6 linked regions of the Mus musculus genome follow. The protein of the gene in region 2 binds, or shares a complex with, the protein of the main gene of each other region. Links are inferred from orthologs where the notes say so. Each region holds a gene or a part of one and is shown on either strand. Other genes may lie near its edges. The genes, in order: Phf10, Arid1b, Dpf3, Dpf1, Smarcc2 and Smarca2.

Region 1 (5,614 bases), about 9.6 Mb from region 2:
CTTTAACTCTTAACTTTTCATTTGCCCTGTTCTCAAGCCAAACTAGAATAAAGGATAAACCTGAACATACTTCCTGTTTTCCAAATTGTTATCCCTTTTCTGTCTTGAAACAGGCGGTACTTAATCTCAGTTGTATACTTGATGAGAATCTAGAATCATCTGTAATACCTGTGAGGGGTTATCTAGGTTCGTTTAGTCTTTGGACATGCTTGTGGAATAGCTTGATTAGATTGAGGTGGCAAGACAAGACCACTGTGCGTAGCACCAGAGCCTGGTATAGGATCCTGGACCACACAGAAAGGAAAGATTGAGTTGAGAGCATTCTCTTTGCACTCTGGGTGGTGATGTGACCCCTGGACTGTATGTACACTTGAACGGAGCCAGAGAAACTCTTTCTCCCATAGGTTGCTTGGTCAGAGTACTTTTTTACATCAGGGAAAGAACTAGACAAATCCCAGGTTCCACATTATATATACTATATTTGTCTCTCGTCTCTCTCTTTCTTTTTTCTTTTTCTTTTCCTTCTTTTTGTTTTGTTTTGTTTTGTTTTGTTTTGTTTTGTTTGTTTTTCGAGACAGGGTTTCTCTGTATAGCCCTGGCTGTCCTGGAACTCACTTTGTTGACCAGGTTGGCCTCGAATTCAGAAATCCACCTGCCTCTGCCTCCCGAGTGCTGGGATTAAAGGCATGTGCCACCACGCCCGGCCCCCTCTCTCATTTCTTAACTTTCAAATTTTATAACATTAAAATCTTTTTGTTTTTTAATTGCAAGTATGCTCTTTCCCACCTACGATGCCCTTAAGTTCAGTTATATATATTTGTGTATCACTTTATCTTGAAGCTGCAGACATCCTGCTCTATGGCAGGCACTCCCTTCACCTCTACATTATTTGTCGGCTCTATACTTCATGTGGATACACTATATATATTTCAAAGGAGGAGAGAAGTGCTGGGCTTACTTTCTGGAGCTAGAAGCTGTGGCTGTGAAAGGGAACTCGAATTCTAAAATCCAAGAGCTAGATCACCACCACCTTTTCTGGTTTGGTCCCCTACATTCTTGGAAGTGTTGTGGGGAGTGGAGGGGATGGGGGGTGGGGGATGTAGGCCTGCCTCTCTGCCCCTTGCCTTTGTCCATTGGACCTGTTGTCTTCCTGGTGCTCTTTTCAAAGGGTGGGGTACGGCCTTTCCTGTGGCGAAGTCTAAGCACTAACATCAATATAAATCCTGTCCAAACACCATTGGACAATTGGCTTCCATTTCCAGGAATTCCCAATCCTGTGTCCTGCAGGTGACTGTGCTGACTCTGTCATATGATTTTGGGAACCTTCCCTATGTTCTCCTTGCCTGACTGGGTTCCGTTCAACCTGAGTGCTGCTGTGACTTTTCCCGTGGCCATGGGGGCCACTACGCCAAGGTCACAGGAGAAGCAGTTGTAGAACAAATGAGCCAAGAGCGCCTTGGGGATCCTGGGGTGTGTGGAGTGAAGATGGAGAGGTGGGGTGGAGAAGTCAGAAAGGACTCAGGAGAAGGGGATCTCAAAGAGGGAGGAGGCGGAGCTCCTGGGGTGGTTGACCCTAAGGGCTGCGAGAGAGGAGGAAGTGGGCTGAGGACACTAATCCTTCATTTACAGAAGGGAGCGAGGACCCTGGTGGAGAAGGGGAGGTCGCCGCGGCTGTGGAGACCCCGGGCTGAGAGGAGGGGCTGGGGACCGGTAGGGGTGGGGTTGGTGGGAGGATACCGCGCGGTAGGGACCCTCAGCTAAGGTGCTGATGATCGGGAGTGGGGAGGACACGGCGGCGTGGTGGCGACCCCGGGCTGAGGGGAGGAGCTGGGTACGGGGGAGGGATTGGAGAACAAGCGTGGTGAAGACACATCTTTGAGGGGAGGGGCTAGGGACCCAGGTGGGGACAAGGCAGGCACCGCCGACTGAGGACCCCCGGCTGACGCGCAGCGGAGGAGGGGAGGGGGCGGGACCGCGGCGGGGCGGGGCGGCGCGGAGCCGCGGCTGACGCGGAGGGCCGGGCCGGGGGCGCAGGGAAGGGGCGGCAGCGAGCTCGCCAGGCGGCCAGGAACCCGGGTGGGGCCGGGACCGAGGCGGTGGCTGGCCAGCGGAGCTCAGGCCGGGCGCGGCGCGCCGGGTGAAGGCGGCAAGGCGGCAAGGCCCCGGCCGAGGCCGGCGGAGCCGCGCAGCTGCGGCCGGCTGACGTGAGCGGCGTGCGGGTCCCGGCCGGCAGCGCGCTGGCGGCCATGGCGGTGGCGCTGGCGGGCCGCGGGGCGCGCGGCGGCAGGGGCCGGCCCCCGGGCGGGCGGGCGGAGGGGGCGGGGCCGGGGCGCCGGGCGGCCCGCGCGACAGCGGCGGCAGCGGCGGCGGCGGCGGCCGCTGGGACTAGGCGAAGGCGGCGACGACGACGGAGGCGCGGGGCGCTTGGGCTGATGGCAGCGGCCGGGCCCGGGGCGGCGCTGTCCCCGGGGCGGTGCGACAGCGACCCGGCCTCCCCCGGAGCGCAGTCCCCAAAGGTGAGCGGAGCGCGCTGCCCAAGGGGCAGCGGCCCAGGCCGGGCTCGGGAGAGAAGAGGAGACCGGGCGGCGGGTCCTGGAGCAACAAGTGCGGCGGACAGTGGGCGCGGACGTCGGGGAGACCTGCGCGGCGGGGTGGGAAGTTGTCCGGGAATAGCTGGGACCGGGGGACTCGGGAAGAGTGCTTGAGACGAAGCGCCCCCAGCCTGGGAAAGTCGGAAAAGTTGGCGGCCTTGGGGATCTCAGTCGGGGAGACGCTGAGCGGGACGTGCGCTCGGGGTCCCGAGTTGGCAGAACGTGGTTTCACACCCACAGACCCGGCCAGCCGAGGTGGCCCCCGCCACGTGCCGGTCCTCCCTGGTGGGGTCTCTGACTGCTCGCAGGGGGCTGCTGGCTCCCTGTCCTGACCGAGGATGGTGCGGAGGGGAGGGCCTTACCTGGAACGTAGCCCTTAGGATTCCTACAGTTGTGAGCTGGTAAACTCTGTGTCAACTTCCGTTATTGTTTCTTTTCGAGAGGATCATTGTTTTTAAGTAAAAGTATTGACATACAGAAATCCTTAAAATGTCCACAAATTAATAAAATAGTGCTTAAAATTAACGGTGTCAAGCCAGTATGGACCATGAATACAGTGAAAAACATACTAAGAAATTTAATTATCTTTCAACTTCTTGATTGTTAGCTTTAAAAGGGAATATTAAGTCTACTTGATTTCATTCTTGAAGAGTGAAAAGGGGAATGATTTCTATGTTCTTTTTTAATTTGGAAAGTAATTTTAGTAAATTCCTAGGTGCTGGAGACATAATGAAATATAAAGTCACTGCTAATCACAACGTTAACATATATCAGACAGCTATGTGCTACCTGGCTCTTATGTGATCACTTCACTGCATCCTTGCATCAGCCACCTAGGCTTTAGGACTGGGGAGAAGCTTGCAGCACACAGCTGGTGGAGGGCAGTGCTCAGTAAGATTCTCTGGCAGCCCGCAGTGCCATGCTGACTTGGCATGCTAGCCTGTGCTGCCTTTTCATTCCCTTCCGTGGGCCTTTATTGAAATTTATAGTAAGAGTAGTAGTGTTAGGAGCTATAGTACCTTGATTTAAAAAAAAAATAGGAGTTTAAGCCTATTAATTAACGTAATGAATTGTTTTTAAAACATTTGATTACTTATTTCCTTAATGGAATGGCTCAACAACCTATATCTCCTATGAGTTTATCACAAAGTGTTGAATTTCTGCCGCAGAAGAAAAGGAATGTAGTTAGACGTGGTAACCTGTATCCAGTCCTTCTTCATCTCCAAAGTAGCTAATTAAAATGCGCCTCCGGGGGGCCAGTTGTAAGCTGAAGGGTACTATGAAACTTACTAGTATTTATTTCCCAGCTCAAATAGGAAGGCTTGCTTTGATTTTTAAAGTGGTGTGGCTACTAAAAAGCAGATGTTTGAACACAATCTAGTTGGTAAGAAAGTGAAAGCAGAGTACATTTAAAATACAGTTGAAAATTTAATTTCATTTCGATTAAAGGTCAGATTTTAGTTTTATTCATTCTTAAATTTTCTAATTTTTTAATCATTTAAATGTACAGGATGATAATGAAGATAACTCAAATGATGGGACCCATCCATGTAAAAGGAGGCGAATGGGCTCAGGAGACAGCTCAAGAAGTTGTGAGACTTCAAGTCAAGATCTTAGGTACTTTAAGGTTCAGTAGTAACTTTCGTAGACTTTTGCTCACTTCTTCTTCTCCTGCCTATTCCAGGCAGCAGAAACAGTTATTAAAAATTATATGTGTTGGCTGGAGAAATGGCTCAGAAGTTAAGAGTGCTTGCTTAACTGGAGGTTGGTTAGCAGCCCCACATCTCATCTCATAAGCTCCTGTAAACTCTGGAGGATCTCATGGTCCATTCCGGCCTCCACAAATGTCTGTATAGAGAGCAAACAAACAAATCTTCTAAAAAAGTCATATACTATCAAAGTAGGTCTCACTCCTGATAACTGTTAAAAAGTTATGGTAAAGTAGGTATATAAAACTCACCATTGTAACACTTTTTATATATAAAGAGTATATTTCAGTACAACCATCACTCTCGGCCCTTTCCAAAACTTTAGTAACTCAAACTGCCTAACCCTCCAGTACCTCCCATCCCTTCCTGCCTCCAGCTGCTGGTTACCACAGTTCTACTTCCTGCCCTGAGTATGAACCAGACAGTACCTGCCCCGTGTTATCTGGCTTACCCATAACCATAGTATCTTCAAGGTTCATCGTGTTGGAGCTCCTTAAGTCTGAACAATATTCCATCGTATGTTCTGCTACATTGTGCTCATTCACCTGCAGGCTGGGGTAGTTAATGCTGAAGTGAACACTGGCATTCAGACCCCTGTTCTTAATACTCTGGTATATAACTAGAAGTAGAAAGCTGTACCACACGTTGATTCTGTCTTCAGACTTTTTAAGGACCTTCCATACATTTCCATAGCAGTAGTACCAGTCTGCATTTCCACCAACAATACACCTTGCAACATTATTTTTGCTCATTTTGCTGATAGGCGTCCAGAAAGACATAAGGTGATCACCCACTGTGATTCTGTGTTGTATACCATGGCTAGTGGTGCTTGCCGAATATTTTTTAGGTGCTCTTTGATCATTTGATTTATGTTTTTGGAGAAATGTCTATTTACTTCTCTGTCCATTTCTCCACCCCTACCCCAGTTTTTGTTTTTGTTTTTGTTTTTGTTTTTTTGAGACAGGGTCTTAGTATGTTTCTCTGGCTGTCCTTGAATTTACTATGTACATGAGGCTGGCTCACAGAGCTAGATTAAAGGCATGCACCACTGTGCCCAGCTGTCCATTTCTCTTTTATTTTGTGCTGATGAGTTATGGGGCTCCTTTATGTATTCTGCATATGAATTCCTTTATCAGGTTTGTAAGTAATTCCCAGCACTCTGGCTCTTTCCCCCTGTAGTTGATAGTGTCACTTTCTAAAATCTAACTTTAATGTCTGCTTTTATAACTTTTGTTTTGAGTGTTAAGTCTAAGAATCTGTTGCTAACATAGGGTTTTCTAGGCAGCTCTTACATTTAGGATTTTAATTCATTCT
Region 2 (4,822 bases):
CACTGGTTACCAGGGTGACAGGGTGAGTCTCGGTGTACAGTGCTTTGGCTATCCCTCATACCCTGATCACATGTGATGGATCTGTTGGTACGCCCTGCTTTCAGTGAACAGCACCGATGCCTGATGTGTGGGATGAGGGTTAAGTTCAGCCATTGTGGATCCTTAGTGCAAAGCTTAGGGCTTCAGTTGGCTTGGGTTTTAGGATCCAGTAAGAGCTACTGTTTTGTTTCTGTTGTTTTGTTTTCCAATGAGATTAGGCAGCTGTACCAGGACAGACACCCCTGGGAATCTCCAGTGAGCTTGCTGTCCTGCTGTGGGCCGGGCTTTGGCTCACCCATAGCAGAGCATTCTGCTGCATTAGCAGTCTTCTGAGAAGTGCTACTGCCTACCTTAAGTTTCATCCTTGTCAGTTAGGTTTCTTTTCTTTAAACTTCCTTCTAGAGTCTTCTGTCTATTTGGATATGGCAATCTGTTTTTTTTCCTATTTTCATTTCTTGATCACATTAATAATATATTCAACCCAGTTACTCTCCCCTTTCACAAGATTCAGTATTTCTAACCTAAACCAGTTTATTTTCAAAGTTTAAGATCTATCACCCTTAAGCATGTTAATTTTATGGCATTTACCTTTCACAAGTGTGGGAGCAGTTGAAATGACCATTTATCTGTTTCTGTGCAGGGACTTGACGTTCCCATCAGTCAATGTTACCGTCGCCTTCCCGACTCTCAGTAGTCAGGAACTTAGACATTTTGACCAACCCTCTGCTAAGGATAGCTTTTTTATTATTTTTTTTTATTTTATGTACATGGTATATGTGAGGGTGTCAGATCTTGGAGTTACAGATGTTGTGAGCTGCCGTGTAGGTATTGGGAATTGAACCTGAGTCCTCTGGAAGAGCAGTGTTTTTAACCACTGAGCCATCTCTCCATCTCCCATGACGTATAGCTTTAAACCCTGTGTCCTCAGTGAGGAAGCAGAAGATGGAAGCATCATCCATGTTCTGATACTTCTGGAAATGCTGCTTCTGAGCCTCTGTCTCTTCTTGCTTCTTGCTCCCATGACAACACCGTGTGGCTCTTGCTGGTGGAAGCTTCGGGGCGTGGGGCTTCCGCCTCCAAGGAAGCCTGGACAAGCACACACAAGGCTCTGCCTGCCCAACCGGTATCCCTGACACCGGTTAGCAACAGCCTGAACTGGAGTTTGGCTCGCCTCCTGAGATGGGTGTTACCATCTCTGTAAGAAGTTGGGGCACAGCTGTGGCCTCCTGTGCTGTTGAAAGCAGTGTGTGGGGAGAGGCAGAGCCTTGGGTAGAGCTTCTAGAAATGGGCTGTCTGTGTCTGCCTCAAGTCCTGAGGAAACTAAGTTGTCTTTGAATACTTTGCTCTAGGCATGAGGCTTACGGACAGCAGTACCCAGGCCAAGGCCCTCCCACAGGACAGCCACCGTATGGAGGACACCAGCCTGGCCTGTACCCACAGCAGCCGGTAAGTTGGCCAGGGGGCATGGGCCTTTATCCCTTTCATTTGCTGGAGACTGAAACCCAAAGTTCTTCTTGTGAAGATTTGGGGAGAGCTAACAAAAGTCACACTCTTTACTGAATCATCAGGGTAGGTCTAGCTAGAAAATACTCCTGGGATTTTGAACTCAGAAAGTTAAAAACAGCTCTTGACAGGCAGTATTCTGGAATCTGTGCAGCGTGCTAGACATGTGTCTATGCTACCCTCCCCTCCTGCCCACGGGTTTTAGACCCATGAGCCAACCACAGGTCAAAAGGCAAGTGCACAGGGCATGTGCAACCCCTCACTGCTGTTCAGTCAGCAAAGAGGGCACAGCTCTTGGGTAGCTTTCACTGATATTGTAGGACGTATCTGAAGTGACTGAATGGCAAAGAGTGTGTATCTGCTGTAGCAAGCCCCAGCCTTCTTCACTAAGGGACTTGACTGTTCATGGATGTGGCCCTCAGGGGTCCTGAAGATAGGTAGTCTCTGCAGATGCCCGAGGACAACTGTGTGCTATTTAGTAAACGCACTGTAGGAAAGAAGTGTGCCATACTTCAAATAAAACAATAAAAGAAACTCAGACTGTTGGAGACCAAGACTGCTCTTTAAAATAAGATATTAATACTACATATTTTGGTGGGCAGTACTCTAGTTGCTGCATAGCTGACTCCCCCTTAAAGAACTTTCACTAATTTTTTCTTTAAAATGATAAATTAATGGCATATTTTGTAATAGGCTAGTTCATGCTGTCATCCTTCACAGCTGAGTCTTGTAAAACCTAACTTGCAGAAGTCACAGTGCATCCTTACAGTTGGTGAGGTAACTCGCCGTGAACAGTTTGAAGTTAACTGAAATAACACAGTGCACCCCTCGGCATCTCCCGCCCACCTGTGGGCAGTGGTGAGAGAGGCTCTTGGAGGAGAGCTGAGCAGGAGTGTGTGGAGGCACCAGTAAGGGCTTTGTGGAGAACTGGGCACAAGTTGAGATATGGGCAGCAGGTGCCATCGTCCAGGAGCTGTGTCAGCATAGAGGCTCTGCCAGCTATTGAGATCTAGGGTCCCTTTAGCCCAGAACCTCCCAGAATGGCCCTGAAATATCCAGTTTGCTTCATGAGTCAGAGCAGCCTGGCTCCTAGGGCGCTCTCAGTCCCATCTGTCCATGTGTGCTGACGTGGTGGACAGCCGTGCTGTACTGTCCCCATGTTTCCCAAGGAGAGGGGTCACAGGAAATTTCTTACACATGAAAACAAACCTAGGCACCCCTCCTAAGAGTATGGGGCAATACTGAAATACAAGCCTAAACTGATAGTGCTTGTCGGTACATAGGAGCGTCCCATATCCATTTTGAAATGAACAGTCTACCCAGTAATAACTGTTTTGCATAATTTCAGTGTGTGTGATTATACCTCTCAGAGAGCATGAGTACGATTTGTCTTTATATGGATTTCAGAATTACAAACGTCATATGGATGGCATGTACGGGCCTCCAGCCAAGCGGCACGAGGGAGACATGTACAACATGCAGTATGGCAGCCAGCAGCAGGAGATGTATAACCAGTATGGAGGCTCCTACTCTGGCCCGGACAGAAGGCCCATCCAGGGACAATATCCCTACCCCTACAACAGAGAAAGGATGCAGGGCCCAGGCCAGATGCAGCCACACGGAATCCCACCTCAGATGATGGGGGGCCCCATGCAGTCATCCTCCAGCGAGGGGCCTCAGCAGAACATGTGGGCTACACGCAACGATATGCCTTATCCCTACCAGAGCAGGCAAGGCCCGGGCGGCCCTGCACAGGCCCCCCCTTACCCAGGCATGAACCGCACAGATGATATGATGGTACCTGAGCAGAGGATCAATCACGAGAGCCAGTGGCCTTCTCACGTCAGCCAGCGCCAGCCTTACATGTCATCTTCGGCCTCCATGCAGCCCATCACGCGCCCACCTCAGTCATCCTACCAGACGCCGCCGTCACTGCCAAACCACATCTCCAGGGCACCCAGCCCCGCCTCCTTCCAGCGCTCCCTGGAGAGTCGCATGTCTCCAAGCAAGTCTCCCTTCCTGCCCACCATGAAGATGCAGAAGGTCATGCCCACAGTCCCCACATCCCAGGTCACCGGGCCCCCCCCACAGCCTCCACCAATCAGAAGGGAGATTACCTTTCCTCCTGGCTCCGTAGAAGCATCACAGCCAATCCTGAAACAAAGGCGAAAGATTACCTCAAAAGATATTGGTAAGAATTTGAAAGGACTGTTCTGGAAATGGATTGTGTTTTGCAATCTGGAACTTTTAATTTAGACATAATTCCCATATATCTCAATTGGATGAGAATCTCAATAATACAAATTATTAGGCTATTTATATATGGGAGCATTGGTTAAAAGCCACTCATCTGAATAAAAGGCCAGAGAATAGACTGAATCTAAATGATCCTCTGAGGTGCAAAGGACAGACTAGCACTCCAGGGACGAGGCCCAGAGCTCCTCAGTGGCACATGCTATGTGCTGGCTTGAGCTTCAGGCATAACCAAGCTGCTTGACTGCTACAGTGGATGCTTAAGAGATCCACTGGAGGCCAAGGAAACTGAAGGCCAGCGACTGGAGTGACAATATAAGATGAATTCCCATGGGGAAAATAGAAACCTGGCTATGCTATATAGGGAGGTAGATATGATATATGGATGGTCTCTGCTATGATATATTCAACTGATGTAATCTACACCACACTGGCAGATACAGGCCAAGGAGTTAACCTCAGCTGAATGCTAATATTGCTCGCTTACCCTCTGCGAGGCGATGGGAATACTAATTAATGGTCTGGAATGCCCGGTAGTTAACACAGCTTTTTCTGCATTCATTTTGAAGTTCTTTTAACACAGCAGAGGAAATAATAGCTCTTCGTTGTGTAAGAAAAATTTTTTCAAAGATTTCGGAATCAGTTGGCGTAAAACCATTTGCTGTGATTAGAAAATGAAAACTATTTAATTAATGATATTAAAGATGTTTATAGTTGTTAGACATTAAGATGATACATAATAAGAAAAATATGGTATCTTTTATATATGGGAGCTGTAGAGATGATGGCGTATAGATACTGAGCCCTATTTTATAAACAATGAAAATGAAATAGCTATTTATGTTTGTGTGTTTAAATAGATACACATATCTACTTTTTGAAAGCATATATTTATGTGGTATTTTGCCTGCACGTATATCTGCATTATATGCATGCAGTGCCCGAGGAAGCCAGAAGTGGGTGCTAAAGCCTCAGGAACTGGGTTGCAGATGATTGTTAGCTACCATTTGGGTGCTGGGACCCTAAC
Region 3 (4,822 bases), on a different chromosome or scaffold from region 2:
CAGCATAGGCATCAATCAGAATAACGGCTGCAGTGGGTTAAAGTGCATCAAACGGGCTTAAATCCGAGTTCATGATAGCACTTAAAATAACCACATTGATCAACTTTGGACAAGACCAAGGAACCAACTCATTATTCTGAAAACTGGTAAATAAATACAAGGGAAACATCCTTTATCTCCTGTCAGCTGTACCTCATAATAACCAAACGTTTTAATGAGGGGATGTTTTTCTTTACAGAGGCTGTAGAGCTAATAAATGAAAAACCACCATGGCCTCTAATCAAATGCCACACTGGGTTTTTGGTTGGTTGGTTTTGGGGGGGGGTTCTTTGCAACTCTTTAATGGAATAAGAATCTGGATAGTTATCACGAAGGGCTGGTAACGTGAGTGAAAGGGGATAATCAGGCTGCATGAGCCTCCTGGTGAAAGCCCAAACTACCACCTGCTTTTGCCAGAGAGAGAGAGAGAGGAGAGAGAGAGAGAGAGAGAGAGAGAGAGAGAGAGAGAGAGAGAGAGAGAGAGAGAGAGCCTGAATAAGTCTCCAGACCTAATTACCAATTCACAGCAATAACACCATGGGGATGCAATCAGCAAATCTGAGCTCTGGGAAACCCTACAGTGCAAACAACCCAGTTTCTTCAACAAATAACATACAAGGGAGAAAGAGTCTCAGCGAAGCCTGCAGATGTCTAAGGGCAGTGTCACAGTTGCAATGCAGGAATCCTGTCTGGACCCTAGCTTACAGTAGAGGTAGCAGGAGAAATGAATGTTGACCATTTGATTAGGTAGTGGTCCTGGGCTGGCTTGATCTTCTCCTTTGTCCTCTCAGGCAGAGGCTTGTCCTGCATCCCAGGCACACTAGCAATCCTCTTGTCTCAGCTTCCTAACCACCGTGATTTCAGGCATGTCCCACGGCACCCAACTAGTTTGACATTTTAAGTCCAGAGTATTTATACGTGACATGATGTGCTGTCCCAGATCTACTTCAAAGTCATCCGGAGTCAGGGAGAAAGGTGAAAGCTAAGCATAGATGAGACAGTCGGCCATGAGCTGCCTGTTGTGGAGCTTGGCCGTGCGGATTCTGATTTTATTTTGCCATTATCTGAATTTTACATATATATAAAACTTTTCAAAACAACAGAAAAGGTTTGTTGACTATACTCATGAAGGAGTGGCAGCAGAGGCCTACAAACCCCAGCCTGAGAGGTAGAGGATCAGGAAGAGTTCCTGGTCGTCACTGGCTCCGTAGAAAGTTAGATCAGCCTGGCCTATGTGAGACCTTACCGAAAGAGAGGGGGTTTACAAAGATGGCTCGGTCAGCAATGTGCTTACCATGAAAGTATGGAACCTAGTTCAATCCCTAGAAACCATATAAATGCACACACTTTTAATCCCAGAGCTGGGGAGGGTGGGAGAACAGGCAGATCCCTGGGGCTCACTGGCCAGACAGCCAAGCTGAATCAGCAAGCTCCCGGCAAAAGTGATAAACCCTGTTTCAAAAACCAGGATGAAGAACAACTAAGGAAGGAAGGTACTTGCATGCACACATGTAACACACCACACATGCATGCATGCGTGCACCCTATGCACACATGGAAACAGGTATAGACACATGCATGTGAGCACACACACACATATTTTAACATAAGTAAATATGACCACAGAAAAATGCATCTCTAGAACTAGTTATCTCCCTAATCTACACCAGTGGGTTTTATTCTATTCTTAGAAGCCCAGAAGTTTAGAATCACAGTCATAACAATGATAATATTCAACATTTTAGAGCATATAGTATGTTGAGTTGTTTATAGATATCTCCATTTAATCCTGATAAACTCCGTGTAGTAAATAATGAGATTATCCACACTCCACAGACGACAAGCCTCGGGGACAGAGTTCTGATGACAAAACTAAGCCTCACCCACAGCTAAACACATTTACAGATTTTAGCCAACACCCGAGGGTGGAAAATGAAGACTGCTTTCTTTGGACTTCTTTGAGATAAACACCTCACATCATCTTTGTCTGGTCCCTTGGATAAACTGTATACACAGCTAAATTTCTTCACTGTGAGTCTAGCTTATCTAACTCCCAACCCGGCCCAGCTGTGTGAACTCCTAGACACCATAGTATTCCTTCCTCCAAGCTGGAGCCGCTGTGCATGCTGGGAGTGGCATGACTTACCTGGGCCGCGGTGCCTCTTCTCCATCCAGATGTAGCAGTTGTTCTGAGCCACCCCAGTCTGCGAGTCCAGGAAGGGGAGACGCACGCTCCGCTCTGCGCACAGCCTCGAGTTGTAGCTCCGGCAGTGCTCAATGGCTTCCTTGTAGAACTGGTCCCCAAGCCTTCAGGAAACAAGAGAGCAATGGGGTGAGACCAGAGGAAGTAGAAACACAACCGGAGGGAAGCGGTCCCCTACCGTCGCTCCAGAAGAGCTGCATTTATGGCAATCAGCCAATGAGCACCAAGAGCCCTATTAAGGGACAAAATACAAATTGTCAACAAATCTCTACCAGATTCCATTTCCTGTCCCAAATCTACCAGGTCACTTAGAGACTTCTTTAAAATGGGCCCCAAAGAGCAAACCACCAGTAAACGTGACCAACCCTGTACTAAGATGTCCCTGGAGGTGGGACATTCTATAGCAATGTTCTGCTTAGGACTTAGAACATCCAGCTGCCAGAGCCCTCTCTTTTAGCATTCCCCACACTTTGTTCTCATTAGTTGCAAAGCACACCCAGACTCCCATTATGACAGAGAATTTAGAATAAAGCATTTAGGATAAAGACTACACGAGCAGAGATGTCCCATGGAGGTACAGCCATTCACTGTAAAAAGCATATGAGGAAGGGCACGTGTAGATCTTCTAAGCCCAAAGATTAAGATAATTAACTTTCTCTGCTCAAAAAACAAGCAAGAGAGGCATTTAAACTAATGTGGGACTCCCCTCCCCTGGAAATTGCTGAGGGATGCTATGGAAGGGTGAGTCACTGTCTTTAATTGTATGCCTACTAAAGTGAGTCCACTAGGCCCCAGTGCAGAGCCCCACACCCATGGCCACATAGCCCTGGTTAAACATAGTAGGTCACAAAACCAAGAGACAAGATTGTGAGACAGGAACTTGTATATGGAAGGCTGATGAGGTAAGCAAGCTACAAGACAGGTGGTAGTGGGTAAGAGAGATGAGAATGCATCGGGTGTATAAAACTGTCAGAGAATAATAGTGAGGCCACAAAGAAGGCTCAGATGTTACGAGCACTCACTGCTCTTCCAGGAGACCTGAGTTTGGTTCCTAGTATCCAGTTCAGACAGCTCAAAACCACCTGTAATGCCAGCTCCAGGAAATTTAATGTCCTCTTCAGGTCTCCACAGGCATGCACCATGTATGTGGCATAAACACACACACACACACACATACACAAACTTTTAACTAAAAAAAAATAATAATAATAATTGAACTCAAAGCAAGTCAATGCCCAAAGTTGAACCCACAAATAAAAATCTATCCTGATTTGTAGGGTGGTGATCTGACTAAACAGTCAATTTTATATCTGTGAATCTTTGATAGTCTTGGACAAGTGATGATCTTACTCAGTAAACATAATGTCAAGGCAAAACAAAAAACACAACCCATGACAATGATATAATTGTGCAGATAAAAAAAAAACAGTGAAAGCAAAAACCTAACATATAAAACACAGGCGCATCTAGGGCAAGAGCTAAGAGAGAAACCCAAATACAACAGCATAACCTCTGGCAGGAGAACCCGAGCCTTGTGGATAGAGAGGCGTGGAGGCAGGAAGGGGAGGGACATGAAGGCAGGAAGAGGAGGGGCCACAAAGATTGTGAGGGCAAACTGGAGAACTGAGTAAGTCATTTGAAGCACTGTTATAAATGTCTGCCCCATTTCCTCTGGCCAGTCCCTCCCTCCCAGAGGTTGTACAGCTACCAAAATATACCACCACCTGGGGACCAAGTGCCAAACTCAGGGCCCATGGCGAATAGCTACACTCAAATCATAACAGGTATCAAGAGTTCTTATGTTGTACAACTGACAGCAGCGTCCATTTCCAGAACTCTTCATTCCTAAAAGCAGAACTAAACAAGCATTAAACAGTCATTCTTCCCCCTTCCCCCAGTCCCCCGCCACTGTCTGCCTCTGTCATTTTGACTAGCCAAGTACTTCGTAGGATTTGGATCTTTTGAGGACAGCATATTGCACTTAGCATATTACAGCATTCTAGATTCGTCCATGCTGTAACGTATGTCAGAATACCCATCTGTTTTAGACTATTTCTATATCCCATACTCTGCTTATCAGCTCAGTGGTCAATGAAGACGTGGATTGCTTTCATGCTTAAGTCACTATGAATATAGCTATACTCTCTAGAGAAATCAGACATACAGGTACAAATATCGAGCCTATACTTTCAATTATTTTGAGTTCAGGCCCAAGAGTAGATTTGGTGGACCATCTGGAAATTTTTTTTTTAAAGTATCTTTCTGTTATTCACAGTTCCTGGGCCATTTCACAATCCCAACAGCAATACACGGGTTTCTAATCACAGCACATTCCATACTGTTTGTTAGAAACCAGGATTTTTGGTTTTTTTTTTTAAGTCAATGGGTCAGATCCTATTAAAGATTTATCATTACCATTACTAGTGTGTGAGTGTGGGGGCAGGGCACTGTGTGGAGGTCAGAGGTCAACTTTGCAGAAGCAGCTCTGGCCCTCCAATAAGGATGGAATTGAGGTGGGCAGGCTTGCTCAGCAATAGCCTCTACCCACTGGGTCATCTCACCAGCCCCCAACCAAAGGAT
Region 4 (4,822 bases), on a different chromosome or scaffold from region 2:
ATGCCCTGATTAGGCTTTGCAGAACTGTCTGCTAATCGTTGGCCTAGGCAAACTTACTTAGGGGTGCCTAAGGGGGTGCCCCCTACATGATGGGGGCAGCCATGGGCTCTTGCTAAGGTTATACCTATCTCTCAGACTTTTACCCAAATAGAACGTATGGTTACCCCAAGAGTTAGGGTTCTGGTGAGAATGGCTTGCCCCTCCCCCAGCTTCCTTGCTACTTCCCAGTGCCTGGGCCAAGGGTCCCGCCCCTGGGGCTGAGGCTGGGGACAGATGGGACCTTGCCTATGGTAAGAGCCCCTTTCTGTCCCCCCACCCCCAGAGTTTTACAAAGAATTGGCCTGGGTCCCCGAGGCACAGAGGAAACACACAGGTAGGGGCACCTCCCTCCTCCCCGACTTCTGCAGCAGTCTTTGACTGGCACGCCTCACCTGTCCTGTGCCCACCGCTGCCTGCTGTCTTTCAGCCAAGAAAGCACCAGATGGCACTGTCATCCCCAATGGCTACTGTGACTTTTGCCTGGGGGGCTCCAAGAAGACTGGGTGTCCCGAGGACCTCATCTCCTGTGCGGACTGTGGGCGATCAGGTGACACTCACCACATATTTTCTGGAAGATGGCGGGGAGAGGGCATCTCAGAATCTGGATTTAGGGAATGGGAGGCAAGGGGAGCGAGGGCTGTACCCCGCCTGTCCTTGGGACTGCCTCTGCTGCCGGGGTCTGTGGGAAACTGAGCGGACTTGCTGGCACAGGAGGAACCAACAGTACGAGGTGCCATGGCTTTGTGCTCTCCCCGGGTGGAGAGTAGAGAGAAGTTAGGGAGGCATTGTGGGTAGGGGACAGAGCTATGGGAGCAATGAATTGCACCGCCTAGGTAGTGGGAATAGCAGGATTGTGTTCTGTAGAACTGTGGTTAATATAATGTGGTTTTCCATGGAGGCCTCCTGGGTAGTAAGACTGGTCGCATCAGCATCGTGGGTAATGGATTGTGGTCGTTACAGTGTGGGTTGTCTTTGCGATTTAATACAGTAGAATGTGGTCATTATGTCTTGGTGGACTGTGGCTGTGAGGAGCTGTGGCTACTGGGCGCTGTGGGCTGACAGGCTGTGTGGGCTGTTGGTGTCTGGCTCGGGGGGATGTAGTTGTAACTGTTGGGTGTTGTGGGCAGTGGCTGTTGAATGATATGGGTAGTGGTTGTCAGGCTCTGTGGGAAGTGCTGTGGGCAGTGGCTACAGGTGTCTCCGTACTGTGGGAGAATGACTGAGCAAATTCCCACGGCAAGCATTGTCAGTGGAAGTTTGTTTGCTGGTGCCTTGTGTGGGCTGGCCTTTGGTCTCAGCGAAGCAAGGTGTGGGGACCCTGTTATGGAGCTTGGTTGCCATAGTGTCCTGGCTGGCAGAAGTTGGCTGCCACGTTGCTGTGGTTAGCAGGAGGGCTGGCAGCCCCTCTGTGGGTATTGGAATGTGGCTGCCCTAGTGCGATACCTAACAGACTGTGGTGGCCACAGTGTTGTGGGTGGTAGAACGTGGTTGCCACAGCACTGTGGGTAATGGAATGCGGTTGCCATGGTGTTCTGGGGAGCAAAGTGTGGTTGTCATGGTGGCTGAGTAGGAGACTGTGGTGGCCAACACACAGCTGCCTGCCACGCAGTCCAGCTTCCGGATGTCTGTCTCAGGGGTAGGGTCCCACCACAAAGCTCGCCTTGACCTCAGAGTCAGGGCTTGGGATAGAGCCATTACCTCCCCAGGGGTCAGTAGCCACCAGGGATATGACAACTCACTAACTGCATCCCTGCCCCTCGACCCCCAGGACATCCCTCGTGTTTACAGTTCACGGTGAACATGACCGCGGCTGTGCGGACCTACCGCTGGCAGTGCATTGAATGCAAGTCCTGCAGCCTGTGTGGCACCTCGGAGAATGACGTGAGTGCCCACCCCATCTCCCGGGCACATCCCCAGCTTCCCTTCCGGCCTGCCTCTGCCACTCTGCCCATGAGGCCTAAAAGTCTTCCTTGTTCATAACTCCCAGTGACCAGCATTAGCGTGCAGTACGGTTGCCACCGTCCTTATTCTTTTATATTCTTTCCCATGACACCTCCCCACCTCCCTTGAGGCTGGTGCTCCTGTTCCCACTACACATAGAAGATGCTGAGCTCAGGGAGGGAGAAGGAGGCCTGAGGTCACCAAGGTCAGAAGGTTGTAGGGCCAGGATTTGAACCTCCGGAGTTGGTATCTGGCCCGCTGAGCATCACTCAGTACAAAATCCGACTCCGTGAGTCGTCAGACAAGGCCAGTGGACTTCCACAGTACAGGCTGCAGAGCCAGTTTTCTCAGAAGGGCCCCTGGGACCCAGCCCCTGCCCCAGCCCCCCACCCCGGTTTCTGGTGCCCGTGCCCCCAGGGTGCCAGCTGGGCGGGTCTCACCCCCCAGGACCAGCTGCTGTTCTGTGATGACTGCGATCGAGGTTACCACATGTACTGCCTGAGCCCTCCCATGGCGGAGCCCCCGGAAGGTGAGGGAAGGGGTGGGCGAGACATGGGGTGGGTGGGTTGGAACGTTGTCTTCCTGGTGGCAGAGACCATGTGCTCCGGGTGGGGACAGGTGGGGGGCGCTCTTCATCTCTCCATCGGGCTCCAGTCTAATTTTGTCTCTTGGCTTCCCCCGCAGGGAGCTGGAGCTGCCACCTCTGTCTCCGGCACTTGAAGGAAAAGGCCTCTGCTTACATCACCCTGACCTAGGCCCGGCTCTGCTTCCCCAGGATCTTTGGGTGGTGCTATCTCCTGCCTCTTGGAGCTCCTGGCGCTCCCCACCCGGTGTCCCCAGTGGAAGGGATGGGGTGAAGCCCAGAGTGGGGGGGGGCAAGGTGTTCTCCCTCTGCAAGTGGAATGTTACCCTGTGGGTGGCTGGGTCCAACAGGGTCCCTCCTGTCCCCCCTCTTCATCCCTTGACAAATGGGCACCAGGCTTCTGCTCTCCTCAAAGCCATACCCCCGCCTTTGGGCGGGCATAGAGGGGTAGTGGATGCTAGCCAGCAGCACGGAAAGAGCCTTTTTCTAAAGAAAAAGACAAAACGTGGAAAAAAAAGGGAAAAAAATTAATATATACAAAGAGTCCTATAAAGCCTGGCTGGGTGGAGAGGCACTGTTGAGTGTCTGCTGGGGACCTGACTTTACCAGTTTCCTGAATGGCGCCTCCCCACCTCATTTCTGGAGTTGCAATGGTCTCAACTCCCATCTGAGGTGGGTACCACCCCTTCCTCAGTACCCACCGTGGATACTGCATGTGAACTATGGTTTTGAACTCTTCCTCCTCCTCCTTGAGAGCCCCGCCCTGCGCCCGCGTGGTGCCTGCCTGCCAGGCCTGGGGCGTGCAGCCGGGGAGGCGGGTGGGGTGAGGCAGGCAGGCAGCCAGCCCCCTGCAGTGAGAAGCACAGATTGCAATGGACTCAGTTTTTTTTTTTTTTTTTTTTTTTTTTCCTTTCTCCCTTCCCACCCCTTTCCTTCCCTACCCAGCCAGGCTGGGCTGCCTCCTGCCCCCCTCGCTAGCCATTTGGGGGTGGCAAGGGGGTGTGGTTGTTTCTCGTGGTTGTGTGTGTTTGTTGTTCGGGTTTTTAAAAGGGGAAATTGAGACTGCAAGTGGGGGAGGTGGAGGGTCTGGGGGAGTCTGCCCCCAATCCAGGAGTACCCCCCTTGCCACCAAGTCTCCTTTATTGCCTGCCTCTGCTGTGAATTAACTTGTTCTGTGTATTAAACTGGGCCTGACCCCTCTGCCCACAACTGCTTCCATCTCTAACCTCTTTTGGGGTGTCACCAACATGGGAAGCCAAGGGGCCTCACTGGGGTAGAAGCCACTGTGGCTGGCCCCCACCTCTTTGCCCCTACACCATGCCTCCCTGTGGCTTTGTCCCAGCTCCTCCCTGTCTTGCTGGAGAGAAGAGGGGGATGGGGTGGAGGGGCTCCCACCCAGCCAGCTGTGGTTGCCATAGCAACGGGCTGCTGCAGCTGCAGCGGGAGGCAGCTCAAAGAGGGAGGTGGGAGTGAAGACTGGGGGGAAGGGAGGGCTGGAGAGACCAGAAGGCAGCCCCCTCCCTGGCTAGGGTTTGGGAGATAGCACCTCAGCATGGCTGGCTGTCACTTGGGATTCCCTGACCTGGGTGTGGTTAAAAGTGGAGGACAGGAGGACATCTCAAAACACAGGGATTCAAGGAGACAGGCAGGGTGGGGTGGGGGTGGGTGGGGGTGGAGAACCAGGGCAATGGTCAGGAAGGAAGATGGTTCTGAGGCCACAAATGTACTGAATGGAAAAAAAGGACAAAGCTGGAGAGATACACAGATGAAGAGAGAGTCCCAGGAATTCCGAGGGAAGAGGACAGGGACCAGGGACGGGGTGGAGGACTAGTCCAGTAAATAATAGTTTAAAACAAGAAAAAGGAAAAAAAAAAAAAAAAAAAGCCAGGCTTTGGCAAGACCAGGGGAGGGAGAAGTGGACAGCTGTTTGGAGAGACAAGCAGAAAATGTACAAAGTCAGAGGGAGAAAATGAGATAAGGGGACAGGCAAAGCCCCCAGACAAAAGACACGGGAATGAGCGAGACTTTTGGTTGGAAGGCAATAAAGAATGTAAGGGACCGCCATCCAGGATGGTAACACACTATGTGGCTCAGAACTCCAACACTGGAGGCTGAGGCAGGAGGGACGGGGAGTTAGTTACACGTCATCCTGGGCTATAGCATGAGCCTTCTCTTTAGAAAGGGGTGTGGGGGTGCGAACAGACAACAGAAATCTGGAGAGTGCCAGGCAGATGAGGCCAAAGAGATAGGCAGACTGAG
Region 5 (4,822 bases), on a different chromosome or scaffold from region 2:
TTGCTCTGGCAGAGAACCTGGGATCAGTTCCCAGCACCTACATTATGACTGAAAACTACCTATAACTCTAGTTCAAGAGAATCTGTAGGTGTTCTCTTCTGACCTCTGCAGACACCAGGCATTCATGTGACACACATACATACATAAATGTGGGCACTCACACACATAAAATTAAACAAACAAACAATGTTGGTGCTGGCCACTGCAGTGTTTCAAAGGTACAGAGGATCTCCAAGTCTCTCTGGCCATGTTACCTAGCTTAATTGGGGAGTACCAGGCTAATGAGAGACCCTATCTTAAAGAAAGTGGGCAACGTTCCTAAGGATGAACTTGAGGTTATCCTCTTGTCCCTGTGCATGCTCGCCCATGCACACAAAAAGACACACATTTAAAAGACAATTAGAGCCAGGTGGTGGTGGTGGCCTATGCCTTTAATCCCAGCACTCAGGAGGCAGAGGTGGGCAGATCTCTGAGTTTGAAGCCAGTCTGGTCTACATGGTGAATTCCAGGTTGGCTGAAATTACATAGTGAGATCCTGTCTTGACGGTGGTACACATCTTTATCCAGATCTTGGAGAACAGAGGCACATGGATCTCTGTGAGTTCCAGGACAGCCAGGGCTGTTACATAGAAAAACCCTATCTTGAAAAACTAACAAAGAGCAAACACTGGGAACTGGGCGCTGGGCATGGTGGCTCTCCTAAGCAATCCAAGCACTGAGGAGGTAAAGGGAGATGTTCTAGATGACTTTGGCTCTAAGATTTGGTCTCACAACAAACAGACAAACAAACAAAACACCAAGAAGCATTGGCTAGAGAGATGGCTCAGTATTTAAAGCAATTACTGCTCTTGTACAGGGCCCAGGTTTGGTTTCCAGCACCCACATGGTTCATAACAATCTATATCTCTAGTTTCAGGCGTACAGACATACAAGCACGCAAAACAACCGTACACATAAACTAAAAATTAAAGCTAAAAAGACAAAAGCGAACAAACACACACACACAAAGCCAGTGGGTGGCTCACGCCTTTAATCCCAGCTCTCAGGAGGTTCAGGTACAAGGACTGCTTCACGTCTGAGGCCAGCACAATCTAGATAGCAAGTTCTTTACCAGCCTGGATTACATGGCAAGATTCTGTATCCCAAAAAAACCCAAATAAGTAAATAAACAATTGACTCAGGCCTCCTTGCTCTGCCACACGGACCTGTGTCTGCTCTTGAGAACCCGTCCTCACCTGTCAGGATAGTAGCCCCAGTGCAGAAGAACCTGTTTATCCCTCTTCATGACTGGCCGTACCCATTCCTCTGAGGATAGAAGAGAGAGATATGCTGAAGGGAAAAATGACTGGACACAGGCTCTAACTAAGCATTCTGCTGATGTGCAGGAGACTCAGTAACAGGAATTCAGGATTTCGAGGCTCATAACCATAGGTGTTATATCAGGATGTAAGTAGTCCTTTATGTGACAGAAAGCCCAAGTTATCACAGCAGAGGCCACAAAAACCCAAGTCTCACCTTCTTCTAGGTTCCCTGGGACAGGATACACAACATGGGAGGCATTGCTCTTATCCTCAGAGATGGTTCCCTGGAAGCACAAGGAAAAGCAGTAAATCTACTTCCTTTTGAAGTATTCTCTAGTAGCCTTTAATCCCAGCACTCAAGAGGCAGAGGCAGGCAGGTTTCTGAGTTTGAGGCCACCCCGGTCTACAGAGTGAGTTCCAGGACAGCCAGGGCTACACAGAGAAACCCTATCTCAAAAAAAAAAAAAAAAAAAAGAAAAAGAAAGAAAGAAAATAAAAACAACTAAAATGTAACCAGATCTGCCTTTCAAATTACATCTTTCCTGAAGTGGTATTAAAATTAGTTTGTATTTTCTTGCAACACCACCTAAGTGGCAAAGAAGCACAGTATTAATGATGTGTTAGCACTGGAGAAAAGCTAAAGACTAACCCTCTGCACAGATGTGTAGTATACTGTCTGTGGTCATGCACAAGCTACAGGTCAACCACAAGTGTCCCTTATTACTCTCTACCAGTCACCTACTTCAGAAATGTGACAGTGAACTGGGGGCTTGTCTTTTCAGCTAGGCTGGCTGGCTAATGAGCCCTCAGGATCTACCTGCTCCTCCCTCCTGGCTGGCACTTCTAGGTATGAGCCGTAACACCCACATTTTCCATGCGTTCTGGGCATCCAGACTTCATGCTTGCACAATAAGAACTTACTTTACCCATTGACCCATCAGACCTATAGGAAATTCAAAGTGGGCTATGAGTGCCTATTCCATAAGATCTGCTTATTTAAAAGGAGCTCCAAAGAGCAGAGATTTATTGAGGCTGTTTTAACAGTATCACTTGACACTCCAGGCAGACCTGAACATACTATGTAGCCAAGGGAACTTTGAACTCTTGATCCTTCTGTTTCTACTTCCCAAGTGCTAGGATACACCACTACAGCTGATTCCCAGGTTGGATTTTTCTGAAATCAGGTATCTCTAGTTCAGTGGAAGACATTCTCTATCACCCAGGTCAAAGCAGGGTGAAAGAGCAACCCTTGATAAACCCACCAAACCTGAGGAATGGAGCAAACAGGACAAGCGCTGCTCAAAGACTTAACTCTCACTCTAACCAGAAAGGCCACAGCGCAGGAGTGTGGGAAGCTTGTATGGTACTACAAGCTGCTTCCCAACAGAAACACTATCAGTCATGAGAAACCGTGCTAACATTGTGTAAACCAGTCACCTACTTCAGAAACCTCTGAGTTACTCACCCTGCCTCCCACTCACCTGGTGTCTCTTAACAATGTCTTTTAATTTCCCTAGCAGTTTGGGCTCAATTTCTGGGCAGAGGAAAATGTTAGGTCGTGACAGGCAATTATTCTGTGAAGAGGAGACATAGACAAGATGAGGAAGAGCTATTTTGTACTCTTAACGAAGGGAGGGAAATGGATGGGGGATGTGCTTGTATATTACCTGTACCAAGGACTTCTCAATGGTCATGAACATTTCCACATTGCGGTCCATGCGTGATGGATTCTGGAAATCGTAACGCCGCCTTATAAAAGGATGATAATCTAGTAAGTTTATATCTGGGGAACCTTTTTGTTTCCTTACTTTCTTCTTCTTCTTCTTCTTCTTCTTTTTTTTTTTTAGTTTAGTTTATGTTTTTATTTTATATGTTTGGGTCTTTTGCCTGCTTGTATATCTGTGTGCCATGTGTGTGCAGTGTGCCTATAGAGGCCAGAAAAGGTCATGGGATTCCCTGAGAGTGGGGTCACAGAAGGGTGTGAGTCATGTGGTTGCTGGGAATGGGACCGAGTTCTCTGGAAGAGCAGCAGGGTTCTTAGCCACTGAGCCATCTTTCTAGCCCCAAAGGTATATAACTTCCTAGTGGGAAATTAGGAGGTATTCTTGTAACAAATTTCACTCAAATCACAGGGAACCCAGTTGTTCTGGTCTCAAATGCGTGAGTCACTCCACGCTTAGTCCAAAAGAATAAGAACTCATTCCCAATTCATTCATGCTTGGAGACTACTTTGGCCATGACATCTATTCTTCTGATCTATAAGAGACACACAGAATTTCTACATTGTTCTTTCACTTCAGAGGGACCCCAGGAAATAAGAGAAAGTTCTTTCTTAACTAAATATGAAAGGCAGAGAGAGAAAAGGCATTCTCACCATCCCTGGTCACTCTTGAATTTGTAGGCAGCTGCAAGAATATGGCAGAGGGATCCTCCTGCTTTGAAATCTAGGAAACATTTGATCTACAAAATTGAGACAGGGAAGAAGTATGTGAAAGTTACATTGTACATACATACATACATACATACACACACACACAAGACTATAAAGGCAAGTTTATGCAAATCTAAATTCCAGTGCCTCCTTTTAAGGAATTACATTTACTTACCTATTTATTTAGAATTTCTATCTCTCTGTATGTATGTGTATGTGTTCTATGTATGTGTTTTATGTATGTCATATGTGTATGTATGTGTTCTATGTATGTCGTGTGTGTTCTATGTATGTATGTATGTGTGTATGTATGTGTTCTATGTATGTCATGTGTGAGTATGTATAGTATGTGTGTATGTATATGTGTGTATGTATGTTATATGTATGGATATGTATGTGTATATATGTGTGTGTGTGTAATATATATGTTATGTGTGTATGTGTACACTAATGGACATCACAGGCTGTCGGTTCTCTCCTTCCACCCATGTGAGTAGTTCTAGGTACTTTATCCACTGGGCTACCCCTTCCTTTGTGTTACTAAAGACAGAATTCAGGGCCTCTCACAGTTTAGACAAGTGCTCTGTTAGGACTATACCTCCAGGATCCCTTTTCTTAAATTTGTTGTTGTTGTTAAGTTTCCTAGGCTGGCTTGAATCAGTAATCTTCCTGAACCAGGCTTCTAAGTAGTGGACACTCCAGGTGTATCACCATATCTGACCTAAAGCCTCACTTTTTTTTTTTTTTTTAACTTTTTAGGGCTTCTTTCTTCCTTCCTTTCTTCCTTTCTTTCTTTCTTTTTTATTGTTGATGTTGTTTTTCGAGACAGGGTTTCTCTGTGTAGCCCTGGCTGTCCTGGAGCTCACTTTGTAGGCCAGGCTGGCCTCGAACTCAGAAATCTGCCTGCCTCTGCCTCCCGAGTGCTGGGATTAAAGGCATGCACCACCACACCCGGTTTAGGATTTATTTCTTCTGCATGTGTGAGTGCTTTTCCTGCATGCCCATGATGCTCAGAAGGCATCAGATGCCCTGGAACGGAAGCTAGGGATGTTTGTAAGCTGCTATGTGGGTACTAGGAATTGAACCTAGG
Region 6 (4,822 bases), on a different chromosome or scaffold from region 2:
GATTCAGAAGGCAAAACACAATCCCAAAATGAGACCCCATCCCACCCACTGAGCAAACAACATTGTAGAGTTTCTGTAGTCCGGAGTTTTCACTTCCTCATCACAAAGTGGCAAATTCTACCCCCCCTGCAACCCCTCCCCCCGCTTTCATCCCCCCTGCCCCCCATCCCCTCCCCCATTTGGTCAGTACCCTTTCACCGGTCATGGCAAATGGAGCATTAAACCACTGCTCAAATGTGCTGCAACTCTTGAAGATTGTAGGGAGGAGGAAGTTGAGGAGGGCCCAGAGTTCCGGAAGCTTATTCTGCAGTGGGGTCCCAGTCAGAAGGATCCGCCTGGGGGCCACATAGTGTGTGTTCAGGACCTGGGTTAGCTTGCAGTGGTGATTCTTCATCCGGTGGCCTTCGTCCACGATCATGTACTTCCACCGAATCTGCAGGACAAAAGAACGCACCAAGGTGTGGCTGGGAAACAGACGTACAGTGGCTTCCAAATGGCTGCGGGCATGTGTGGAAAAAAGCAACACAGAATCCAGTTTGGCACAAGACACAGAATGATACTCTTTCCCAACTAATGGAACATTGCCCATGCCTGGCCAACGTTAAAGCATCAATGTTTCTCCCAGGACAAGTGATTCTAATCCACCTTCTAGAAACAATATCTGTGCTTTCCAATGCTGTGATGTGAAAGGGTCATTTGACACCCCCCCCCAAAGGGGTCTCAATCCACAGGTTGGGAAACTCAGGCCTACACAAAAGGGATATTGGAAGAAGAAGAAAGAAGAAGAAAAGGGAAGAAAGAAGAAGGAAGGAGGAAAAGAAGAAGAAGGAGGAGGAGGAAAAGAAAAAGAAGAAGGGGAGGAAAAGAAGAAGAAGAAGGAGGAGGAGGAGAAAAAGAAAAGGAGGAGGAAGAGGAGAAGGAGAGAAGGAGAAGGAGGAAGAGGAGGAGGAGGAGGAGGTGAAGGAGAAGAAAGAAGAAGAAGAAGAAGAAGAAGAAGAAGAAGAAGAAGGAAGAAGGAAGAAGGAAGAAGGAAGAAGAAAGAAGAAAGAAGAAAGAAGAAGAAAGAAGAAGAAAGAAGAAGAAAGAAGAAGAAAGAAGAAGAAAGAAGAAGAAGAAGAAGAAGAAGAAGAAGAAGAAGAAGAAGAAGAAGAAGAAGAAGAAGAAGAAGAAGAAGAAGAAAGAAGAAAGAAGAAGAAGAAAGTCTGCTGTTCCACTGTCTCTGGCTCTGGGGTGAAAGTCAGAGGAAGCAGACAGGCAAGTGTGGCCTAATTCTCACCTCCTCATTAGAAGTACCAGTGAAGCCAGGGAAAAGAAGGAAAACCATCAGCCAAGCTGGGCTAGCCAAATAAAAGAAACTCCCAGCATTCCCTGCACCCTTTTCTCTACCAGCACCAGCTGTGTAAGACTGACCAAAGTCCTGCAGTCAACTTGCCAACAGCAGAGAAAAGATTAAAAAAAAAATGCATCTAAATAGATGTTCTAAATCTACTTTCTTCCTCAGTGGAGCTTGGGAGGCAGCAAAGGAACCAGAGACCTTTGATTCCACCACCAAGTAAGTACTAATTAAGTCTTCTGCTTGGAAAAATTACTACCCCTTTCGGGAGTACCATTTCTCCAGTAACAAATAAAAGCATGGCGTCTCGTTACGGGGTGTCTCTGGCGACTTTTGAAATACATATGCACAAGACACAGATTTTTTTTTTTTTTTTTTTTTTTTTTTTAGGGATCTCAAAGGTACACACACATTCCCACAGTAATATTGGAGACACGTCATTTCTGACACTGCCAAATTCATCTCGGAGCATGAGGAACTGGAAGGCGGCGGTTGCTGTCAGTGCCGTCTCAATTATTAAGTGTCCCCTGGGCATGCATTTCCTTTATGTTATTTCCTATGATACCATGAAGGGAACACACAGCTCCCAGAGCAAAGGTTTAATGCAGAGAAGGAACAAAACTCAGCAATGGGGATTCTGTTCAATTCTGACCATAACTTACTTTTAGATTAGACTGATTTCCAAACACCATGGGGTAAAAGAAATTACCACGGGGAGAGGGGGGGAGGAGGGTGGGGAAATTAAGTTTTCATGATTTGTTCCAAGAAAGACGGTACTTCCATCTTCCTGTGTGAATACATTAGGAGACAACATGATATAAATGGGAAGAGAACCTTCTCATTTGTGGCTAAAGGACAACTTTGGACATTCAAATGAGGAGCCAGGGAGGGTCACAGACACAACTCTTTCTCTGTGCCAAAGAAATAGCCACACGAGCAGCCCTGAGTAATTTAAACAGTAATGGCCCATTATTTTTTACCAGGAAAACCTGAAAACAGATAAAGCACACAAGCTTCAGCTTGGAGACAAGCTCTGGTGGGGGGCACCATCTGGAGAGGTGCCTATGAGAGAGAGAGAGAGAGAGAGAGAGAGAGAGAGGCACAAGAGGAACGAAGCCCTGCTGACAGTAACCCAGGGCAACAAAAACAATTATTTCTTTCCAAGCACATTCAGAGCTGCTGGAGAGAAGTGGAACCCAGGTGAATTTTCTTAACAGATGTGTAAGTGGGGCTGGAGAGATGGCTACTTTTGCAGGGGAATCGGGGTTCTATTCCAAGTGCTCATATAGAAGCTCATAACCCTCTCTAACTCCAGTCCCAGGGGGTCTGATGCCCCCCTTGGCCTCCACAGGCCCTGCACACTTGTATGTCTGCAGGCAAAACACTCATACTCATAAAACAAAGAAACAAACAAACAAAAAAAAACCCCTAAACAACCCAAAAAGATGGGAACTCACTACAAATGACCAGGAAAGGGCCCAGGGTACATCAACCGAAGGCATTTCTTTCTTCCCCTCCTCTTCTTCTCTCAGTCCCCCCACCCCCCGCCCCAGTCTCCCTCTCTCTCACACACAAACACACACAAAATACCATACAAAAATATTAAATCCTGTGACCAAGATTTCAGGAGGAAAAAAAAAAAACCTGAAGAGGGAAAAAAAAAAAATCCAGCCATCCAATGACCAAATGATACTGTTGAGTATAATTTGCAGGATACTTTATACTCCAGTGAGATGATCCACAATTAGAGATAAAAAAAAAAAAATTAAAGAAAAAAAAACCATACCTTTGCAAGAATGTGCTTGTCTTTTATAATGTACTCGTAAGTAGTCAGGAGGACATTGAATTTGCCACTCCGTAGCTGGGGAACGAGGGAGCGTCGCATGGCAGGGGTACCCTGAATGGGAAGAAAAATACATCGATTACCCACTGGAAGCACATAGGTGCGATTTCTCACTGTTCAGAGCTTAATGGAGCCTGGACAGGCGATGTGCACATAAATGTATTATCATATAGTGATCTATTATCTCTGAAGAAAGTGGAAGCTAAACCACACGTATCTTGACCCTTTCCAGGTCCTTACAGGAAGGTTTCCCACTTACGACTGAGGAAGGGGAGAGAGAGAGAGAGAGAGGAGGAAATTGCAGTGAGCTTGCAGTAGTCGTGGGGAACCCGCTGCTTGGCTGAAAGGCTCTCTTTCTGTGGGAGAGTGCAGCAGGCAGCCCGGTGCCCCGTAATTGCCTGCCAAGGCAGGAGGAGCTGTCGGCACAGTAGAGGCCCACAGCAAGCCAGTCAGCAGCACACAGAAAAGTGTGATATTTGTCATTTGTATTACTCTCATCAGAAACCTCGCAATATGATAATTAACAATTTTCTTCTGCATTTCACTATCTGAAAGTAATTATGGTTTATTACAGTAATCTTCTTGGGATGATTAACTCTCACTGTTTAGTACATGATGTACATGACAAAACTTTACAGCCAGATACAGTTCACAGATGTGCACATGCAAGGGAGAAAACATAGCTCAGGGTTTGTGTTTTTTTTTTTTTTCTTCCAGGTTTATATAGAAACACAATGCTCCAAACCTTGTAAGAAATTTTCACCACAGAAGGAGCCCATTTGTCAAATTCATATGTCCAGTTAGACAGAGTCCTACAAAAAGAAACAACAACGAAAAACAGTAAAAACCCACACACGTACACACACATATATAAAAGTCAGTTACTGGAAACCTGTTACTTATTTCTAGCCCTTGCCCTAAGAGGGGCTAGAGAATATAAACTATCCCAGACACATATTTATTTTAAAGCTATGCAGGTAAGAGGCAAGTTAGAAATAAGCTGCCACAAAGCACGACAGTTTTACACTTCATTTAAAAAAAAAAATCTCATAAGAAACAATTCCCAAGTATATAAAGACAGTGAGCGATGTAGCAGACTCCTCCTATGGTTCCGAAACCCAACAACGGCTGGAGGGTTTGAGATCTATACAGTTCTGGAAAGCTACTCAAATCAGGAGAGAGAAATTACAAAACCACCTGAAAACAGTAAATAGACCTGTCAAAGGACGCAGGGAAGAAATACCGAATCTTTTTTTTTTTTCTTATTCCTCCAAAGTGAAACCATAATATCCAAGTCAGCCCTGAAAATATAGTTTGAACACAAAAGGGCATGTGAACAATATGAAGGCAGATAACTCAGCCTTGGTCAGAAGAGAAAGAACTGAAGGAAAAACAAAACAAAAAGCCTTGTTCTTCCTGCACGTGTCTCGGGACTGCGAGCCACAACAAGGTCTCAGTGACTAAAGGCCGAGACACACATACACCGAAGCACTGGACTAAGGGAAGGTGGATATGAATAGCTCATCTTTACTCGGCGTGTTGGCTACAGACCAGGGGGAGCCATTCAGTGGGTGAGGAACTGGGGCTGGGCTGGACACAGCAGAGACTGGTCCTTCCAGGGCGGCAGGCCATTGAAACACAAAGTG

The links.
Region 1: Arid1b (region 2) and Phf10 share a complex: the UniProt entries of both Homo sapiens proteins name them as parts of the neural progenitors-specific chromatin remodeling complex. The link is inferred for Mus musculus from reciprocal best matches to the Homo sapiens genes ARID1B and PHF10.
Region 3: Arid1b (region 2) and Dpf3 share a complex: the UniProt entries of both Homo sapiens proteins name them as parts of the neuron-specific chromatin remodeling complex. The link is inferred for Mus musculus from reciprocal best matches to the Homo sapiens genes ARID1B and DPF3.
Region 4: Arid1b (region 2) and Dpf1 share a complex: the UniProt entries of both Homo sapiens proteins name them as parts of the neuron-specific chromatin remodeling complex. The link is inferred for Mus musculus from reciprocal best matches to the Homo sapiens genes ARID1B and DPF1.
Region 5: Arid1b (region 2) and Smarcc2 share a complex: the UniProt entries of both Homo sapiens proteins name them as parts of the neuron-specific chromatin remodeling complex. The link is inferred for Mus musculus from reciprocal best matches to the Homo sapiens genes ARID1B and SMARCC2.
Region 6: Arid1b (region 2) and Smarca2 share a complex: the UniProt entries of both Homo sapiens proteins name them as parts of the neuron-specific chromatin remodeling complex. The link is inferred for Mus musculus from reciprocal best matches to the Homo sapiens genes ARID1B and SMARCA2.

The regions. Positions count from the first base shown.
Region 1 is NC_000083.6:14,958,013-14,963,626, reverse strand, and holds the start of Phf10 (PHD finger protein 10), read left to right. Parts: upstream 1-2,366; 5' UTR 2,367-2,432; coding exon 2,433-2,516; intron 2,517-4,101; coding exon 4,102-4,208; intron 4,209-5,614. UniProt on the Homo sapiens protein: Involved in transcription activity regulation by chromatin remodeling. Belongs to the neural progenitors-specific chromatin remodeling complex (npBAF complex) and is required for the proliferation of neural progenitors.
Region 2 is NC_000083.6:5,333,576-5,338,397, forward strand, and holds part of Arid1b (AT-rich interactive domain-containing protein 1B), read left to right. Parts: intron 1-1,388; coding exon 1,389-1,485; intron 1,486-2,949; coding exon 2,950-3,733; intron 3,734-4,822. UniProt on the Homo sapiens protein: Involved in transcriptional activation and repression of select genes by chromatin remodeling (alteration of DNA-nucleosome topology).
Region 3 is NC_000078.6:83,368,319-83,373,140, forward strand, and holds part of Dpf3 (zinc finger protein DPF3), read right to left. Parts: intron 2,347-4,822; coding exon 2,186-2,346; intron 1-2,185. UniProt on the Homo sapiens protein: Belongs to the neuron-specific chromatin remodeling complex (nBAF complex).
Region 4 is NC_000073.6:29,313,817-29,318,638, forward strand, and holds the end of Dpf1 (zinc finger protein neuro-d4), read left to right. Parts: intron 1-322; coding exon 323-373; intron 374-466; coding exon 467-586; intron 587-1,807; coding exon 1,808-1,920; intron 1,921-2,397; coding exon of another isoform or gene 2,398-2,427; coding exon 2,428-2,509; intron 2,510-2,664; coding exon 2,665-2,735; 3' UTR 2,736-3,770; downstream 3,771-4,822. UniProt on the Homo sapiens protein: May have an important role in developing neurons by participating in regulation of cell survival, possibly as a neurospecific transcription factor. Belongs to the neuron-specific chromatin remodeling complex (nBAF complex).
Region 5 is NC_000076.6:128,461,920-128,466,741, reverse strand, and holds part of Smarcc2 (SWI/SNF complex subunit SMARCC2), read right to left. Parts: intron 3,762-4,822; coding exon 3,676-3,761; intron 3,051-3,675; coding exon 2,969-3,050; intron 2,876-2,968; coding exon 2,783-2,875; intron 1,586-2,782; coding exon 1,516-1,585; intron 1,306-1,515; coding exon 1,236-1,305; intron 1-1,235. UniProt on the Homo sapiens protein: Involved in transcriptional activation and repression of select genes by chromatin remodeling (alteration of DNA-nucleosome topology).
Region 6 is NC_000085.6:26,677,482-26,682,303, reverse strand, and holds part of Smarca2 (probable global transcription activator SNF2L2), read right to left. Parts: intron 3,989-4,822; coding exon 3,922-3,988; intron 3,231-3,921; coding exon 3,120-3,230; intron 434-3,119; coding exon 191-433; intron 1-190. UniProt on the Homo sapiens protein: ATPase involved in transcriptional activation and repression of select genes by chromatin remodeling (alteration of DNA-nucleosome topology).